Linked DNA regions of Cricetulus griseus. The protein of the gene in region 1 interacts with the protein of each later gene in a pairwise test. Links are inferred from orthologs where the notes say so. Each region holds a gene or a part of one and is shown in the gene's direction. Other genes may lie near its edges.

Region 1 (9,664 bases):
AGTTGAGGTACCTATTTTCTAGTACCTTTTGCAATCCACCCTCACAACTCCTTACTTGCTTTCCAGCCTTCTGAGGGTGATCTCTCAGGGTCCCCTTTCTTTCCCGACCTCGGTGAAAACTCCATTTGTGGCTGCTCTTGGCCACTAAGTCCGAGTATTGGGCGAAAGCCTGGAGATTTGGATAAACCACAAGACTCCTGGTCCTTTTCTGAGAGAATGTCTCCCACCTTTATTGTGGAACAGCCTTATATACAAACTTACAAAAACTCCAGGTCAAAGGATTCACAACAGGATATTGATCCCAGTGGGGTGAGGTCAGGAAAACAGGAGGTACCTGTGGTTATGCTGGAAAACAACTCTTAGAGACCCCATGGGGGCTGGGTTCCAACACTAATATATAGTTTAGTAAGACCAGACTAGAACAAGTCCACCTCTGCTGTTCAGACATGTTGTTTCTAGGTGGAGGCCTAGTTTTTCAACTCAGAGGCAGGGTCTGCAGCCCCCACAGCCTGGTCCTCAAAGATGATCCCACAGGGCAAGTCTCTGTACTTGCAGGCAGAACCTCTGGACAGATGGACAGGGTGACAATGTTGGTTGTTATCCATTTTGGAGAGTATTGCTCCAGGTAAAACCACATGACAGCAGGCTGCAAATACAAGCAGCTCCTCTTGAAGGGCTGCTCATTCCTTTGGCAGCCAGGCTTGAGGACCAGGCTCTAAATCAGACTTCCACAGAAAGAGTTCTGCCTGCTTGCCCACCAAGACTAAGAACAGTTCTGAGGCTGGTGAAACTGCTCCCAGACTTCTTCAGCAGCAAACTCTGCAGGGAGGCATCAAATGTCTGTGAACAGGGGCTGAGGCTGAAAGAGCCTGCAGCAACAGTCTTCCTGCCCCACAGCACCAGTGTGGGACATGCCTGCGCCTCTCAGCCATGTGGGAACAAACTCCGTGTCAGAGCCACCTCCAGGGTTGTATCTCGTATACATTAAAAGACCCAGATGCTGAGCTTTGAGCATCCTTGTAAGATCATTTCTGTTCCACAGTTTATATGTATTATAAATATATAAAAACATTATATTACAAATATGTATTACACTATGTATTATAAGTATATAATATATATAATATTTAAAGACATACATATTTATATAGGTTGGTCCTAGACCATATACATATATATATATATATGTGTGTGTGTATGTAATATGTGTGTCTGTGTAAGATCATCAACTACTGGTAAGTGAAGGGAACTACAAATGTCCTCTTAAAATGGTCACATTAGAATCCTAACTACAAGGAGTTGATGGCTTGACCACCCACTGTGTCTTGTCCTTAGGCACAGAATCAGCTGAGGTGCATGAATTCAGGCTGGTGACCACACTTGAGCCTTTCAGTAAGCTCTCTTTCTCTGAGCATAAGTGGAGAGCACATTGCCTGGTGTATGATAACAAAGCCAGTTTTCTCATCTCCCCAAGAGCTGATCCTAATTATATCTGTGCATCACAGAAACCTCAGACAGATGTGCCTCCTAAAAGTGAAAGCTGCCTTGCAAATGGTCAGCTTCACCCTTAATCATAACTATGATGGTTATCACTGTTGATGGCTTACCAAGGGCCAGGTCATGTGTCTAGTGGGTACACAGAAGATGACAGATGGTCATTTGTTGAGTGACTGAACAATACTCTGTGCCCTTCACATGCCATCACATTGACATGGGCGTTATAACTTGTTTTACAAAGCTACCACCTCTGGATTTGTTCTAATTTTTTGTTTGTTTGTTTTGTTTTTTAGATAGGATTTCTTTGTGTAGCCTTGGCTGTCCTGGAACTCCCTCTGTAGACCAGGCTGGCCTCCAACTTACAGAGATGTGCCTGCCTCTGCCTTCCAAGTGCTGGGATAAAGGCATGCGCCACCACCCTGCTACTGTTGTTATTCCAGTATCCATATAAAACCTCCATGAAGTAGATGCTATTAGCCCACAACACTAGGCAGAGTTTAAGTGACTTGCTTAAGAGCAGTCTCTGGGTGATTTACACTTCCACCTCGGTATTGGGGACTTAGCCCAGGCCTCAAGTATTACACCCCCTCCCCCAGGTACTCTACTACCAGGCTAGATCTTTTGGCCTCTTTTTAATTTAAATATTTTTATTTTGATACGGGGGTCTTGCTAAGTTAAACAGGCTGGCCTTGAACTGGTTCTGTAACCTAGGGAGACCTTGAACTTGCAATCCTCCTGCCTCATGCCTCTCATTATTTGGAATTATAGGCCCCTGCCAGGCAAGCCCAGTTAGTGGCAGTACTTGGAGGGCTGACTAGCATCAACACTCTGGGTTTCAGGTTCTTCACATCATAATCAAGTTCAAAATGGTAGGGGTAGTGCTCTTATCCTAGGCTTTGCTCATTTCTTTCTCATTCTCACCACTGCTCCTTCCTTGCTCAGAAGATCAACAATCCTGCAGACGTGGCCGGAAGGCAGTTATATAAAGAAACTTCAGTGATCCACAGCGTGGATTTTTGGTGCACGGCTGGCTTGGTTATCGTTCTCATTCCTTCCTCAAACATACGTTGGACACTCCTATGTGCACAATATTGTTAGCACACCAATGTGTACTCATCCGGAGAGCAGCAATTCTGAGGCTTCCTGGAAACCCTTGGCAGGAGAGTGTCGGTTTCCTTGGGAGGCCCTCTCACTTTTTTCTTCCTCTGGAATTGTTCTATCCCTCAAGGTGGCTGGAGCTGCAAGTTTCCTTCCCTAGAGGTCAAGTAAACTTGAGAACAAAGTGAGAAGCCTAGGGCAGAACCGCCTGGGGAGACACGACAGGAACTTGGGAGCGCCTGGGATTCAGTCCCCCAGGCCATCTTGTATATAGGCTGACTTCGTTGATAGCGAAGAGATAATAGAATTTATAGAGCCCGAGATTCCTAGTCCTTCAGTCACAAAGATCCCAGGCTCCAGCCATGAACCCTAGAAGGTTCCTATGCAAAAAGGACCTCTTGGGATGACTGCATACATTGTCCTCTGACAATGCAAACGTGACAGCTGCCTATCCAACAACCATTCCGCCTCCGTTCGTGCCACACAGGCATCTCCTGCGCTATAGTTATGCAACCTCACTCGCAGCGGGAGTTATTTCCTGTGCCGCTGGATGCGCCAGATTCATGTAACCCGCCTACCCCGGGCTTCAATGGAAGCCGTTCTCCATTAACAAGCACTCGGGCTTTCAGAAATGAATGCCCTGCATTGCATGCTGTTTGCGCAGTGAGAATCGCGCTGCGAGGTATTGAAATCAACTCTTTCTACACACACACACACACACTTTCTCTCCTCACTCCCCTGTGCAAGCAGCTAGGGGACTACAGCAATGCAACTAGAGGGACAGCAGGAGGAGCTCGCTTTGCAGTCCTGCCCTGTAACCCCCACTAACTAGAGATGAACTCAAGCCAGTTCCATTCTTTGCAAGGAAAACACAACACACGCGCGCGCGTGCACGCGCACCGAGCAGAACGGAGCGGCCTTCTGATTTCTTCCTCGAACACACGGTGGATGTGCAGCCTGTTTGTAGAGACAACCTGGACATTCCAGGCTGAGTAACGGGGAGTTGCGCGTCGCAACAATGCCAGTCCCGGAGCAGCTCTGCTCACAGATCCCACCCCCCGCCCCCTTTCGCGGCGTGCCAAGAGTTTGGAGCGCGCGCACGCACACGCGCGCGGTGCAGCGGTATATCCCTCCGCCGCCCTCCTCGCCCCGCTCCCGCTGCCCGACGATTTGGGAAGCGAGGGGAGGAGGGAACTACTTTTCGGAAACTTGTTATGCTGCCCACGATCTCGAGCTGCAGTGATTCGCCTGCGGGCCGTGGCTTTTAGGTCTTCCCCCACCTCCCAGAGGCCCCGCGCTGCCCGCTCGCAGCCGCGCCCCACGTCCGTCCGCTCGCCCGCCCGCCTGCTCCCGCGCGCCCCAGAAGTCGCGAGGGACTACTTCGCCTGCCTCTCCCGCGGGCGCCCCCGGTTCGCGCGGCGGAAGGAGCGGGCGGCGTGAGAGCTTCCGCCGCCCCCCTCGCGGCTCCCCTCTCGCGGGCGTGAGGAGCGGGCCCGCGGAGCTGCGCTGGTCTCGGCCCTCCTCGCCGCCGCTCGGAACTGTGCCCTCGGGCTCGGACGGCCACTTCGCGCCCTGCCTGCGGCCCCCAGCTGGAGCGCGTCTGAGGGAGCCCCTGAGGGCCGACCGGGTCGGCGCGCCGCGCGGGCAGCCGGCGGCCAGGCGGGAGATGGTGCGCGGCACCTCGGCGGACCGCGCCGCCGCCCGCAGCCAGCGCTCGGCTGCCCCCCGCCCCCGCCGCCGCCCTCCAGTCGGCGCGCCCTGAGAGCTGCACCGCCTCAGCCGCCGGCCGCGTCCCTTCCAGCGCCTGCAGCCGCCCGCGCCGTCTCGGCGTCGCACCCGGCCTCGGCACAGCGAACCGCTGGGGTCGCCACGGCCGCGCTCACTGCCGCCGCCCCCCTGCGGGGGTGGCCGGGCTGCCCGGCTCGCGGGGCGCCGCTCCGGGTGAGGCGTCCACCATGGTGAGGCCCCCGAGCCGCTGCCCGCGCGCCCCGCCGGCCGCCGCCGCCGCCGGCCCGCCGTCCCTCGGTGCCGCCGCTGCCGCTGCTTCCCCGCCTGCTATTGCTCCTTCATCTCCTGAGCGGATCACGGTGAGGGAAAGATGAGCGAGGAGACGGCGACTTCTGACAACGAGTAAGCGAGCCCTGGTGGGCAGCCCCCTCCCCCCCAGCCCGTCCCGCCCGGGAGGTGATAGATGCCCGATGTGTCGTCGGGTTGTGTTCTTTCATGGCAGCACCCCTTTCCATCTTTGCAATCGCCTCCCTGCTTGGGGAAGGCTATCGAGTGCGGAGCAGAGGCGGTGTAGCAATCGGACGTCTCCGAGACGGAGTAATGTGGGTGGCTCAAAGTGGAGTAGAAACTACCCTTTGCCTGCCCTTCACTCCTGCATCCCCCCCCCCCCCAGCACCTTGAACATCCAGCCATCTCCCTTTACATCTATTTCGCTCGGAAACTAATGTGTGGGTGCACCTCCTGCCGCAAACTGCTCTCGAATCCTAATTCGATGACTCAGTGACTCTTAAATGCTGCCGATTAAGCCTTCGCCCCCTGTCCCACTTTTTAAACTTATGACCTATACTGGTCTGGTAAAAAAAAAAAAATAGGGTTAGGGAAACATTTTAAGAATTAAATAGGATTAAGAACACCTGGAGTGTGGGCGATGTTGAGCTATTGTTTTGTTTTAGACCTTGGCGAATATTGAACTCGTCCTCATTAAGAACAGAACAATTAGGAATTTTGAATGCTAGTGTCTGGCTTTCGTCTGTGATAAAGCACCGTTTACATTGCCGAACGCGTTGGTGACTTTGTCAGTTTCATCTAGAGCATTCCGCGACTTTAAGTTTTTTGCTTATTTGGGCTGTCCTTATGTTTTCCAAACGAAGCACTGTGCCTTTTAAATATAGCAGCCGCTTGGAGGAAGAATGGTGCTGTAAGATTTTCCTGTTGAGAAGGGAGTTAATTTGAGGCAGAATATTGGCGTCCGTTTTCTTGTGATTGAGTTCAAGTTTTGTTTGTTTCTGGAGGGTTATGAAGAGTTAAATGAGGATGCATTCCTTTAAATAAAGTACATTCCTCAAGTCAGACCTCTTCGAGAAGGCTTTAAGGGCCAGTGCCGAAGCCCGCTTAGCATAAAATAGCTAGAAAAATACCAGGCAGCGTCCCCCCCTCTTTGAAAAGCACACACTGAGGGAGAGGGCGTGGAAGGAGGTGGATTGCTGCAGTCAGTGCAGTCTAGAAGCAGAAGTGGCCGCCATGTTCTCTCTTTTTTGTGAATCGCCCTCATTTGCATAGCACACTTCATTCATAAAAAAAATAATTAAACATCCATCACCTTGGACAACTTGAAAGGGTTTCCTAAGAAAAACATTCGAAGCTTGTTTGTCTTTATGTAGATTTTTGAGTTCGGGAAGTGAGGAGAATTAGAAGTTTTAGATTAAATTTTAGAACATACGCACACACAAACAACTACCCCAGTTCTCAGAATGTTGACACAGTTATGTGGGAAATATCAGTTCGGGGAGGTGCTGGGATCACGTGATCGCCTCCATTCATAAAATACCTGGCTGTCCATTCACAGTGCAGTACACTGTCACTGCCTTCCGCAGACTAGACCTATTTTGAGCTAGATCTAGAAGCCTGTCTCAGATGGTGCTGGGTTAGGAGAAAAACTGCGGAAATGCTGAAGGGATTGTCGGGGACTTTAATTAGTATCTTGGAGGAAAGCAGCTGGGATAAAATCTTACCTATTTTAGAGATGGGGAAAGATTTCTTACCAGTTTAATAGTTTAGAAAGTATTATTTCCTTGATGCGGCTGAGGAACAAATGATGGGGTGTGTACTAATGCAGACATATGATAGATTGTTTCAAAACGGGCCTTTTTTTTTGGTATTATGGCAAATTGAAAGTGCAAGTAAGTGTGAGAGAGATCTCAGTGGATGGAACCTTTGTTGCACTAAATGAAACAAAAATATTTCCGATGTTTTTAACCCTCAAGGTATTGATGCTTTGAAACAGAACACTTTGGAAATAATTCATCCAGATTTTTAAAATTGTTTTCACAAATATATCCTGCCTTATTAATACATTGTTCCCCAGGAAAGGAGTCGTCTATGTTAGGATGTATTATCCTCTGAAAGGTTCTTCCTAGGGCATTTTTTTTTTTTTAATTAACGTTAGAAAATGGTTGTGTTCACCTGGTAGTCATTGCTGCTAGAGCTTACATTGTTTACTTGTGCCTTAGCTCAACCACAAAGTGGATTTCTTAGAATGTCAATTTTAATCTGGTCATTTGTAGATCTCATCTTTATCGTAGGAGGTGAAGTTTTGAAAATGGAAATTCAAAAATTACTTAAAATCATACGTTATGAAGGAGTGAAAGATACAGTAGGGCACTCATGGTTCTAGGTATAGTTTAAAATGGCCTTGTATTATTTTTTCCCTTTTTCAAAGGGATTTAATTACAGTAGAAATTGTTCTTAGCATTTTATTGCTTCATTTTTCTTTGTTTTTAGCCTTTTAAAGAAGGCGAAAAATTACTAATTTCTTGAAGACTGTTAACTTTTAAAAATTAATGGATAGCTGTTGTACTGAAATATAATAAGGCCTTTTAGAATACTCATTCTGAAAACCATTTGAATTTAGATTTTTTTTTAGTAGAGAAATAGCTAACTGAGGTGATTGTATATCTAATCAAGAATTAGTAGATGTATTATCTAAAAGGCTTTGTTTTAACAGTGACAAATGAGGAAATGAATGAGAATAGGATGAAGCACCCACACTTTCAAATTCATGTTTAAAAAATAAAATATTTCAGCAGGTAAGATGGCTCAACTGTTAAAGGCACTTTGTACCATCTAGCCTGATGAACTGAGTTCCATTTCTGGGACTTATACTGTAGAACCTGCTCCCACAAGTTGTCCTCAACACAGTCACAAGTAAGTGTAATAAAACAATTTTTTAATCTGAGTTTTCAAAAGACAGTACATGTACTCTAGAGTAAACTGCTTTATGCTATAAGTATCGGAACTACCATACATGACTTTATTTTCGAAGATACTATATTTTGCAGAAATTAGTACTTCAGATGTGTCAGTTTTTCATTTTGCAGAAACAGATACTCCAGTAAATAAAGTTGTACCATAATGAATTAACCTTTTAAATTGAATTTTGGACACTTAAGAATATATTATATAATACCTAAGGGCCTTTGTAATTTGGTGTTGAGTGAATATCATGCTACATGCTCTTTGCCAATTTGGCCAAAGCACTTGGAGAAGTGAAATAGCTGAAAAACCAAGAATTCCGTTTATTGTGCTTAAATAAAGCCAGAACCATCTGCCATGTCAGTATACTAGGCTTTTTAATATCAAGTTGGGATTATAGTAACTTTAGAGGAGATTCATTAGAGTTTTGACAGAATTTCTCCTGTCAAAAGCAAATTTTGTGATTATACCATTTAGTGCATCATTAAAAATGTACCTCACAGTGGGAGTATATAAGTTTTCTTTCATTTGTCTTATATATTCGTATGTCTATGCATACATTATATACATAATAGTTAGAAAGTTATTCTAGAACTGAATGGAAAGAAGCATTGGGAATCTGTGACAGTTATTCAAGTAATGTATTTTATATAGATATTATGAATCTGTAATGTAAAATTTGCTTAGAATTCAGTCCAGCTCAGTGCTTGCTCACCTGCTTCAGCTTTCCTCCTTTTTGATATCAAGCTTTCTGGTCTTAGACTGTATGTTTTTAAACTATATGCTAGCATGCTTAAAATATTTTTTCAAGGAAAAAAAGCTTGTGGAAATAATTTTTCTCCAGAAGACTCAATTGTGCTATATGCTCTTCAACATTCTGTCCTTCTGTGTTGTTCTGTATTGATCCATACTTATAGTCAGATTTTAAAAATCATAATGTAAATTTACTCATTGCTCTGCCTGTTATTGCCCCTTCATATACACTTTTTTGGTGTGTGAATTATACATTTAGTTGTTTTGTTAGGCTGAAAGATTATAGGAAAATTATTTATGCTACCTTTTTTTTTTTTTTTCTTGTTTTTTTCGAGACAGGGTTTCTTTGTATAGCTTTGAAGCCTATCCTGGCACTCACTCTGAAGACCAGGCTGACCTCGAACTACAGACATCCCACTGCTTCTTCCTTCCGAGTGCTGGGATTAAAGGCATGCACCACTAATGCCTGGTTTATATTATATTTTAAAGAAGATTTGCTCTTTATTTCCTAAGGCCAAAATTGGTTTCATTTTTGACATGTTAGATTTCCTCAAGTTCTAGAAACAATAGTTGAGGCCTAAAACTATCATAGATACTTTTGGAGTAGTCATTGTGTTGGCCTCTGAGCTATGCAGTATTAACAAAAGGCTAGTCATTTGTCTATCTGTTTATCAGTTTTGAAGATTTGAAAGTTTCTTCCTCTTACAGCTTCTTCATAGTGCTACCTATGGGAAACTGGCTAGGAATAAAAAAGTTCATTGATGGGGAAGGGGTAAAAATTATAGGCTCCCTATTTGTATGCTTCTGGTGATGGAGAAGTTTTGAAGGGGAAAGACTGACAAACTTGCTCTGATGACGGTAACTTGAACTTGACTAATAGATCTCACTAAGTGTTGGAAGGGTCATACAGAGAGGTCTACATTTCTTCTCCAACCTTCCAGAAGAGTTGCATTTAAGTTAAAATTTGAGAAATAGTTTACCCACCCATGCAAGATCAAAAGCTAGTTCAAAGATGAATAATTTGTTTGCATAGCTACCATGAGATAACAAGGATTATAATATTATGTAATTGTGTGCAGACTCCTTTACCTGTGACTTTGATGATGTTGTTTATATGTTGGATTTTTCACTTTGTGCTGAGCACTGTGAAAAATGCTTTAAGAGTTTCATAAGTATCGGGATGGTGGTGGCACACACCTTTAATCCCAGCACTGGGGAGGTAGAGGCAGGTGGATCTTTGTGAGTTTGAGACCAGCCTGGTCTATAAGATGGAGTTCCAGGACAGCCTCCAAAGCTACACAGAGAAAAGCCCTGTCTGGAAAAACTAAAAAAAAAA
Region 2 (8,229 bases), on another chromosome or scaffold:
ACTTACTCAAGAGAACCAAGATCAAACTGACATTGTAGGATTGCTAGCATCTTTAAACAATGAAAATTTTGGGAGATTTTGTTTAATGTGGTATCCCAAAATTTCTCTTTTCTTAGAAAATTGTTCTTGTAAACAACCCTCAATAAGCCATAGACTCAATTTTGTCAGGAAACCATTCTTAGAAATGTGATCCAGGGTAGATAAGGCAGAAGATGTTCCCTGGGAGTGAATGGGACTGGAGGATCAGTCAAGGGCATTGTGTGGGAAGAATGTTGAGGGCTCTCTGGCTATCACTGTTGGTTTCTGCCCTGACTAGAGAAGGAAAGGAAAGAATGCTGGCTCAGGCCTGTTGCTCTGCCTTGAGATATAATCAACATATGTTGTCTGTAGTGGTAAATTATTTATCATTTATTAAAGCCTGCCTGAGGATTCAAAAAGCATCTGACCCTCAGCTTGAACCCCAATATCTGTCTCTGGGTCTTTAATTTATCTTGTTACATTGTCTTTGGCTTAAACTCCTCTGGGGTTGGCTGGATACTTGGCTTGGAGTGCCCTGCTATCACAGATGGGAGCTGATTTGGGTGGTTTGGGGGTCCTAATTCCTCTGGCTTGTTTAGGTTCACAGAGTGTTTCCAAATGGCCTGGCTTCCCAGGAAGGCACAATTCAAAAAGGCAATGAGGTTCTTTCCATCAATGGCAAATCTCTCAAGGGGGCTACCCACAATGATGCCCTAGCTATCCTCCGCCAAGCTCGGGACCCAAGGCAAGCTGTGATTGTCACCAGGAAAGCAACTGTGGATGCCACTCATGACCTGAACTCCTCTACTGACTCTGCAGCATCATCTTCAGCAGCCAGTGACATTTCAGTAGAATCTAGTAAGTGTTCCCAGTGCAGTGGGATGGGGACTCACGTGCGGAAAGGCCCCACGTGAGCCCCATACTGACTGCCTTTGGCCATTTAGATCCATTGTTGGTGGCACTGTGTGGTAATGTGAAGCCCCAATACACCTTTCCAGCTTGCCTGGTGTGCTGCAGAGATGTGAGTCTGTGTTTCCGTGTGTGTGGTTAAATAGCTGATATCAACCTGGGCAGCTGGGCCTGAGAGAAGAGCAGAGCACTGACCAAGCCCATGTGCTTTTCTCTGCAGTGGAGGCCACTGTCTGCACAGTGACACTGGAGAAGACCTCTGCAGGGCTGGGCTTCAGCCTGGAGGGAGGAAAAGGCTCCCTGCATGGAGACAAGCCTCTCACCATTAACAGGATTTTCAAAGGTGGGCCCTTTTCCCCTCTATACCCTCTCCAGTTGTGGGCATGCAGCAAGCACTCAAAACCCAAAACTCCTGAGACCCTTCTGGGCCACTGTCGATTCCCACGCCCTTTGAGTCACGTGTTGACCCTATGCATTCAGTTCTGCTTTTCTCACCTTGTGCCCTTGCTCAGCCATGCCTTTACTTCTCTTTTTGCTGGGTCCTCTCACATGACTGAGTACTAGGCTTGTGTAATGAGTCTTTTTCTGTCCTGCTAGCCAGCTCCCAAATAATAACACAGAAACTTATTGCTAATTATGAAAGCTCGGCCTATAGCTTAGGCTTGTTCCTAACTAGCTCTTATAACTTAGATTAACCCACTTATATTAATCTACATTCTATCATGTGGTGTAACCTGTCTTCTATCTTGCACTTCCTGGTTTCTCTCCTGGGGTCTCCCCTGCACTTCAATGATCTCTCCCTACTTCCTCTCTCTTCCCAGAAGTCCAGCCTATACCTCCTGCCTAGCTATTGGCCATTCAGCTCTTTATTAAACCAATCACAGAAATACATTTTCACATAGTGAACAAACATCCCACAACAGGCTTGGTTCAGCTTGGCAGGACCAAGGACATGAAGAGGCAAGGAAGACTCTGGCTTGAAGCACAGAGTTGAGGGCTACCGAAAGATGCATTGAGAAAGATCAATACCATTTTCACACAGTGTACTCAAAAATAAATGTTAAACTTAAAAATTATACAGCTGTGATAGCACTCAGGTGAAGACAAGACACTCAGGTGTTCCAGATCATAGTGAGTAAAAGGTCAGCCTGGATTATATGAGTCTGTCTCCAACCAACCAACCAACCAACCAACCAACCAACCAACCAACCAACCCACAATGCATAAGATGCCAATGTTTTGAGTAAAACCAGAGGCTAGCACTTGTCTCACAGTCTGGCTAGCTTTACTCTAGTCCTGGATTCATTGGTTCTTGTGTTTATTTTCCAATTGATGTCTTATTCATTATGAATTGGGCTGCCAGACAATGTGACATGTTGGTTAGTTGGATATGGATTATTCCTGAGACAATTATGAACACCTTGTAGCTACCCTGCAAATCTACCTGCAACTTCTTGCCATTTCTTAGGTGGAAGCCTTGGGCAAGGGAACAAGGGATGTGGAGAAAGAAATGTTGGTTAGAAGCCAGGCTCTGGGTGTAGTCTCAGCCCTGTCTCTAACTTGCCAGGTGACCATACTTTACCTGTCTAGAGGTTCCTTATCCATAAGAAGAGGTAAAAAGTATGGGTGTGTATCTGGGAGCTTTTAGAACTGGGATCCAAAGGGCATCTCATCCCTAATACCTGTCCTCATGAGCCTTCATGGCTAGCTGATTTTAAATTCTGCAGCATTCATGAAAACCAGTGGGTAGACTGAGTCATACATGGTAATTAACTCCAAGTGTCCATGCTAACTGCAGCTCTGGGGAAATGCTTTCAGCTCTTGAGGGAGCCGAAGCTGAGAGACCTGGGTTCTAATGTTAATTTCGCCATGTCCAGTGGCAGGACCCTGGGCAAGTCACTTCATTATTCTGGGTCCACGAGTGTACATGGGAATGAGCCTCCAGCCACAGGAAGGTGTGGCACTATGGGATGTGGATGCCAGAGCCTGGAGGTCAAAGTTTAAACCTAGACCTAAAAACTGAGCCACTTTCAAGTTCTGAGTGAGGCTTTCCATCTTTGGTCTCTGCACCTGTAAAAAGGGAGTCTATTGGTGTGTACCCCAAGGTACATGAGTACAGAACATGTGGGTCAATGCCCATTGTGGTACTTGCTCAATATTCTATATTTTCATTATTATTCTATACTCTATATTCAATATTGGTAAAGGCCATGGTATCAGATAAATTCGGGAGGTTTCCCTTCAATATGAACAGTAAAAGAAGATGTCATGGTTTCTGTATGCATCTTTGATTGAGTGGGTGCTATGCAGGTCTTTCTGGGTGGACACAGAGTTCTCCCCCAGTCAAACAAGCCAAAAACCCTGTGAAGATTGCTTCACGAATGTTTCACTAACTCACACCCCTTCTCACCCATTGCTAATGATATTACCAGAAGAAGGGAGTCAGTATGAAGTAGGATAGATAAGGAGAGGACCCAGAGCTCCAGGGCTTCTCTAGAAATTGTAGAAGTGTCTAACTGGGCTCTGGCTTGGAACTGCTATTGATGAATACAAGATGTAGCCAGAGATAGGGGAAAATACTCATGCAAGGACAGACCCAGAAATACTTCTCAGTCCACTCAGTGTAGGGAGACACCGTAACCACGCCTTCTAAGGGCTGGCTACAGATGTGCCTGACCACGCCTGTCAAGGCGTGGTCAAGGTGAGGTCAGAGTAACGTGGCATCAGCTCTTAAGCAACCAGGAGCACATGGAACACTCTCTTCCCCTTCGGTTGCTCCTTCTCTCTGGCCTCCCTGCCTTGCTGCCCCTGGGCATGCTCTGGCTTGTGTTTGGCTGGTATTTATCTGAATAAAGGTATCTTGAATCTATAAGCTTTTTCCTTCAGCTCAGCCTAGCAAGAGTGCCACGTGCCTTTCTCCCTGCTTCTTAAACCCCTGTTACATACCTGTGACCAGGGTTTCTCCCTACCAACTGCCTGTCATCTCCTCACTTGAAAACAGAGCTGAGTCTTGGTTCCCAAACTCTGAACTACCTTGCTGTGAAATGCTTCACTTTAGAACCACAGACAGGCTCCCAGGGATGGGTGTGTGACCCACTTCTGGCTGTCCTGGTTCCTCAGAAAGTGCCTTTTATTCTTCCCGTTGTCTGTGAAGCCCAGAATCACCTGCCATGTTCTCCTTCTTTATAGGGACAGAACAGAGTGAGTCGGTCCAGCAAGGAGATGAAATCTTGCAGCTCGCTGGCACTGCCGTGCAAGGTCTTACTCGGTTTGAAGCCTGGAATGTCATCAAGGCATTGCCTGATGGGCCTGTCACTGTAGTCATAAGAAGGAAGGGCCTCCAATGCAAGCAGATGATAGCTTCTGGGGACCCCTAGACAAGATGCCGATGCTACGACAATGCAGGAGCATGAAGCTCCCATCACTGCCGATTCTCAGGGTCTCTGCTGCCCACCTCACCCAGGCTGGGGAAAGCCCAGGTGTGCTTCTGGTAGCTGCTGCTCAGGTTTGGACTTTCTGGGACACTACCCACCAAGAGGGTTATTCTAAATGGCAGGACAGAGTCACACAGAAGTGGCTGATACAACTTGCAGACTGTATATAGACAGCTTAGTGATACTATTCTGGTGCCAAAATAAATTGGGTGTATTGCAGTTTTCTATGAAACCCATGTCCTGATTTGAACATTACCCAGGTACTATGAAAGCCACCCCATGGCAGCAAGTTTTGTCTTATGAATCTGCAGGATAGGCAGGACTTGGAGCTCCTTTTGGCCCCACTAAGCATCATCTACAGCAACTCAAGGTTGGGCTGGGGTCCTAGGAAGGGTCACTGCTTGTATCTCTGGTTGCTGGTTCTGAGTGATAACTAAGTGGTCTTTTCATGGCTTGGGCTTCTGTGCTGTGATGCCAGGCTGCCTGGTACACATACCATAGCCAGACAGGAGCTGCATCTATTTAAATGTTCTACCTTCAAAGACTCATAGCATTGCTTGCATTGTATTCTCACTGACAGCAGGCAAAACCTGCCTGGACTCAAGGAAAGGGTATTATGTTGTCAGGAACATTTTTGTAAGATGCAACCAGTCATGAAAAACACTTTCAAACAAGCAAAAGACTATTTGGTTAGGTTGAGAAGTGATCCTAGAAAGGGTGGAACCAGGAGATAGAGGAGTGCGCTGTGAGTTAAGGTGTAGACAGATGTGTTCACAGGATGAACCAGAATGGATATGGGTGTAAAATGTAAAATACAAATTTCTACCGATGTCCCATCTGTCACATGTCAGGCATTCTGCTTGATGTTAAATGACAGTCATGTGTAATTACCACCACTTCAACAATGGTGGTCCTGTGCTGGTGTATTGGAAGGTACTAAGCCTCAGGACAATGAATGGCTTGTCTGGCTGGGATATGGTGGGCAGAGATTGTCATTCCTTCTGTGACCTGGTAGACATAAGCAGGCCCAGGAGAGTTATAACAGCACACTAGGAAAGACACCCTCTCAGCCAGTTCTCAGCATGTGCAGGACCAATAGAATATTTGCTTCGGTCACCTTTGAATATCTGATAGCCAAGCTCGGGACAACTCAATGTGAATCTTGATGATCCATAGCAAGTATGGGTTAGTAGGTTTGGGCCAGGGGTTCAGCTCCTCATCCCCACTCCTCTGAAATAAGGATGACATTGAAGGCCTGGCAAGTGTCACAGGCAAAACACCAGAGTCCATATATTTCAGGGCACTGCAATGGGAGCTTGCCAATGTAACCTGCTGGCCTCTCCAGAATTTGAAGTGGACTCAGAAGCCCCCACTGTGCTCTTCTCTTCATGCAAAGCCCTCCAGTGACTCTTGTATAGCTCAGTCTCACCTACTCTGAGCATGCTTCTCCAGCCCACTTGGAATTACATCCTGTAGCAGTCAAAAGTAGATGAAAAATTCAGGATACCATTCCTAGCAGCCTTTGATAACTATTAGAAGTTATATTTGATCTAACAATAAAAGATGTGGGGCTGGGGAGATAGCTGTCAGGAAAGGGCTTAAAAGCCAATCAAGCATGGTGACTCAAATTTCATCCCCAGAGACCAGAAAAACAAAAACAAATAAAACCAAACAACCAAATAGACAAATGGAAACAAAAGAACCAGGCATGGTGACATTCACTTGTAATCCCAGACCCGGAGAAGCAGAAAGACACAGCTTCCTAGAACTCGCTGGGCATCCAGCCTAGCCTATTAGGTGACTTTCAGTCCAATTAGAAAGTCTGTCTCAAAAAACAAGGTGGATCACCTTCAAAAGAACGGTAAAGCAAGCAGGCTTAACACAGAGGAGACAAAACCAGAGAGAGACAACAGGAGATCAACAGTTAGTATCCAAACTCCAGGGAACAAAGCAGCAGCAGGAAATCCAGACAGATCTAGACAGAGTGTGGGAATGTCTGAACCAGCCTCATCAAAATGCAAATGTGTCCAAATGAGCCCTTTGACTAGACTTCCTTCCTCCCTCGAAATGATGTGAGAAACAAATAAAGGAAGAGTAGAGGAATTATTAAAAGCTACTAAAAGACTGTGAGGGGCACCATATCTCTGAAGAGTCTTTAAGCAATCACAATGTCAGCCAACAGAGATCTCTCCTTTCTTCACTTGAAAGGCAGAAACCTACATGTATTTGAAAAGAAAGGAGACAGCATTTGTCCCTACTGGAATGGCCAGTATTGTGGCAATTGCTAGATAACTGTAGGCTTGTGTAGTCCCACAGCACAGGAGACTTATTCTTCCTTCCTTCCTAATGGCAGCAAGGCCTGATGGATCCAGAAAACCAGAGCACTCTTGCCTCACCCCCATGACTGAGGACAGAGTCAGGTATATGCCAGGGGGCTCTTCTACCCAGAGTCCTCCATGCACACAGGAGTAGCTGGCCCTACTCGGAATCACTCACACAGGACACAAGAACTCCCACTCCTTCCCAAAGATATAATTTGGCCCGGGGCAGATTCAAGCTGGTTTCATGGGGACATGAACATTAACTCATGAAGGGACAAACAGATAGAAAAGACAATTCTGATGGAAGATACAACAAACATTAGGTAGAAAGTGTTTTTCCTTAAGGCTCAGTCTGTGCTTTAAAATATATTTTCCAAGTTTATGTCTTTGTAAGGAGGGGAAAGTCTTGTGTTAAAAATTTGTATATAAAATTTATCACAAAATGAACACAGGAGTCTGGTACAAAAGTCTGGGTGCTCCAGATGCCCGAGGAAGCAGGACTTAGTGACCAGGATAGACAATGATTCTCTAAGACCAGCAGAGAGACAAGGTGTCTGACAGCAACGCACAGGACCCTGGACCACAAGGAACCAAAGGGTGTTTGAGCTATGTCTTTGTAAAGTGGCCATAGCAGGACCTGTCCTGCCAAGTGTGTGTGTGTGTGTGTGTGTGTGTGTGTACCACTGCAAACTGATGGACAGCTTCTTCCACACCAAGCCCAAGAGGAAGGAGAGGTGTGTGTGGGGATGCTATCCTAGGCTGGCTCCCCAAGACTTCCTGTTCACTAGGGCATCTCAAACAGCCACAGTAGCTCTTCTGTGTTCTTTGAGGCACAACAGCTGGAGCTCCTGAAGGGCATTTCTTTCCAATAGGCGACTGTATCAGTGATGGAACTTCCTCACTGCCTTCTGAAGGTTGGGGTAGAACTCAGCCATGCTGCGAGGGAAGAAGGAGTCTACCACACTCTGAGGGAGGTAGCCACTCAGGTCTGTCTGGAAGAATGTGACCAGCTTGGTTTTGTTAGGCTCCCTGAGAAAGAAACAGCAGTGGTGGGTTAGATATGTACCCCAGAAGTATCTAGCCCAGAGCCATGACCAGCAGAAGCAGCCCAGACACCGTGTTCATTTCTACTCCTGCTCCAGACTCAGTACCCAGGGTTCCTCTCAACCTTGTTCTGGATAATAATGTATCTTTTAGGAGACACACTGCCCAGCCCACTGCAAACACATTGGGGGGCTGATGCCATGCCCTGGGTGGGTGTGCAGATGTTCCTTGTGACTATTAACAGCTGTGTTTTTGATGGCTGGCGACTTCTGGGACATCCTGGCCCTTTCCAGGTCAGCAAGGTTAAAACTCCTTCCATGCAATGATTTCTATGAACACACAGTGGAGTTTTTAGCCTATGTGACTTGTGACCCCACAGCACACTCTGTCACAGATGTGTTTATTATGTCTGACATGAAAGAAATTGGAGAAACTGGAAAAGATTGCCATTCTTCTCAGTTTTTATTTAGAAAAGCTGATTTTTCTTTTAAAAAATTGCTACT

The links.
Region 2: the proteins of Spred1 (region 1) and Il16 interact in binary tests that used the Homo sapiens proteins (3 or more experiments, as listed by UniProt). The link is inferred for Cricetulus griseus from reciprocal best matches to the Homo sapiens genes SPRED1 and IL16.

The regions. Positions count from the first base shown.
Region 1 is NC_048599.1:61,429,265-61,438,928, reverse strand, and holds the start of Spred1 (sprouty-related, EVH1 domain-containing protein 1), read left to right. Parts: upstream 1-4,573; 5' UTR 4,574-4,693; coding exon 4,694-4,725; intron 4,726-9,664. UniProt on the Homo sapiens protein: Tyrosine kinase substrate that inhibits growth-factor-mediated activation of MAP kinase. Negatively regulates hematopoiesis of bone marrow.
Region 2 is NC_048596.1:114,020,412-114,028,640, forward strand, and holds the end of Il16 (pro-interleukin-16), read left to right. Parts: intron 1-617; coding exon 618-876; intron 877-1,147; coding exon 1,148-1,270; intron 1,271-4,116; coding exon 4,117-4,304; 3' UTR 4,305-4,478; downstream 4,479-8,229. Other genes in the region: Stard5 (stAR-related lipid transfer protein 5), read right to left, coding at 7,564-7,711. UniProt on the Homo sapiens protein: Interleukin-16 stimulates a migratory response in CD4+ lymphocytes, monocytes, and eosinophils. Primes CD4+ T-cells for IL-2 and IL-15 responsiveness. Also induces T-lymphocyte expression of interleukin 2 receptor. Ligand for CD4.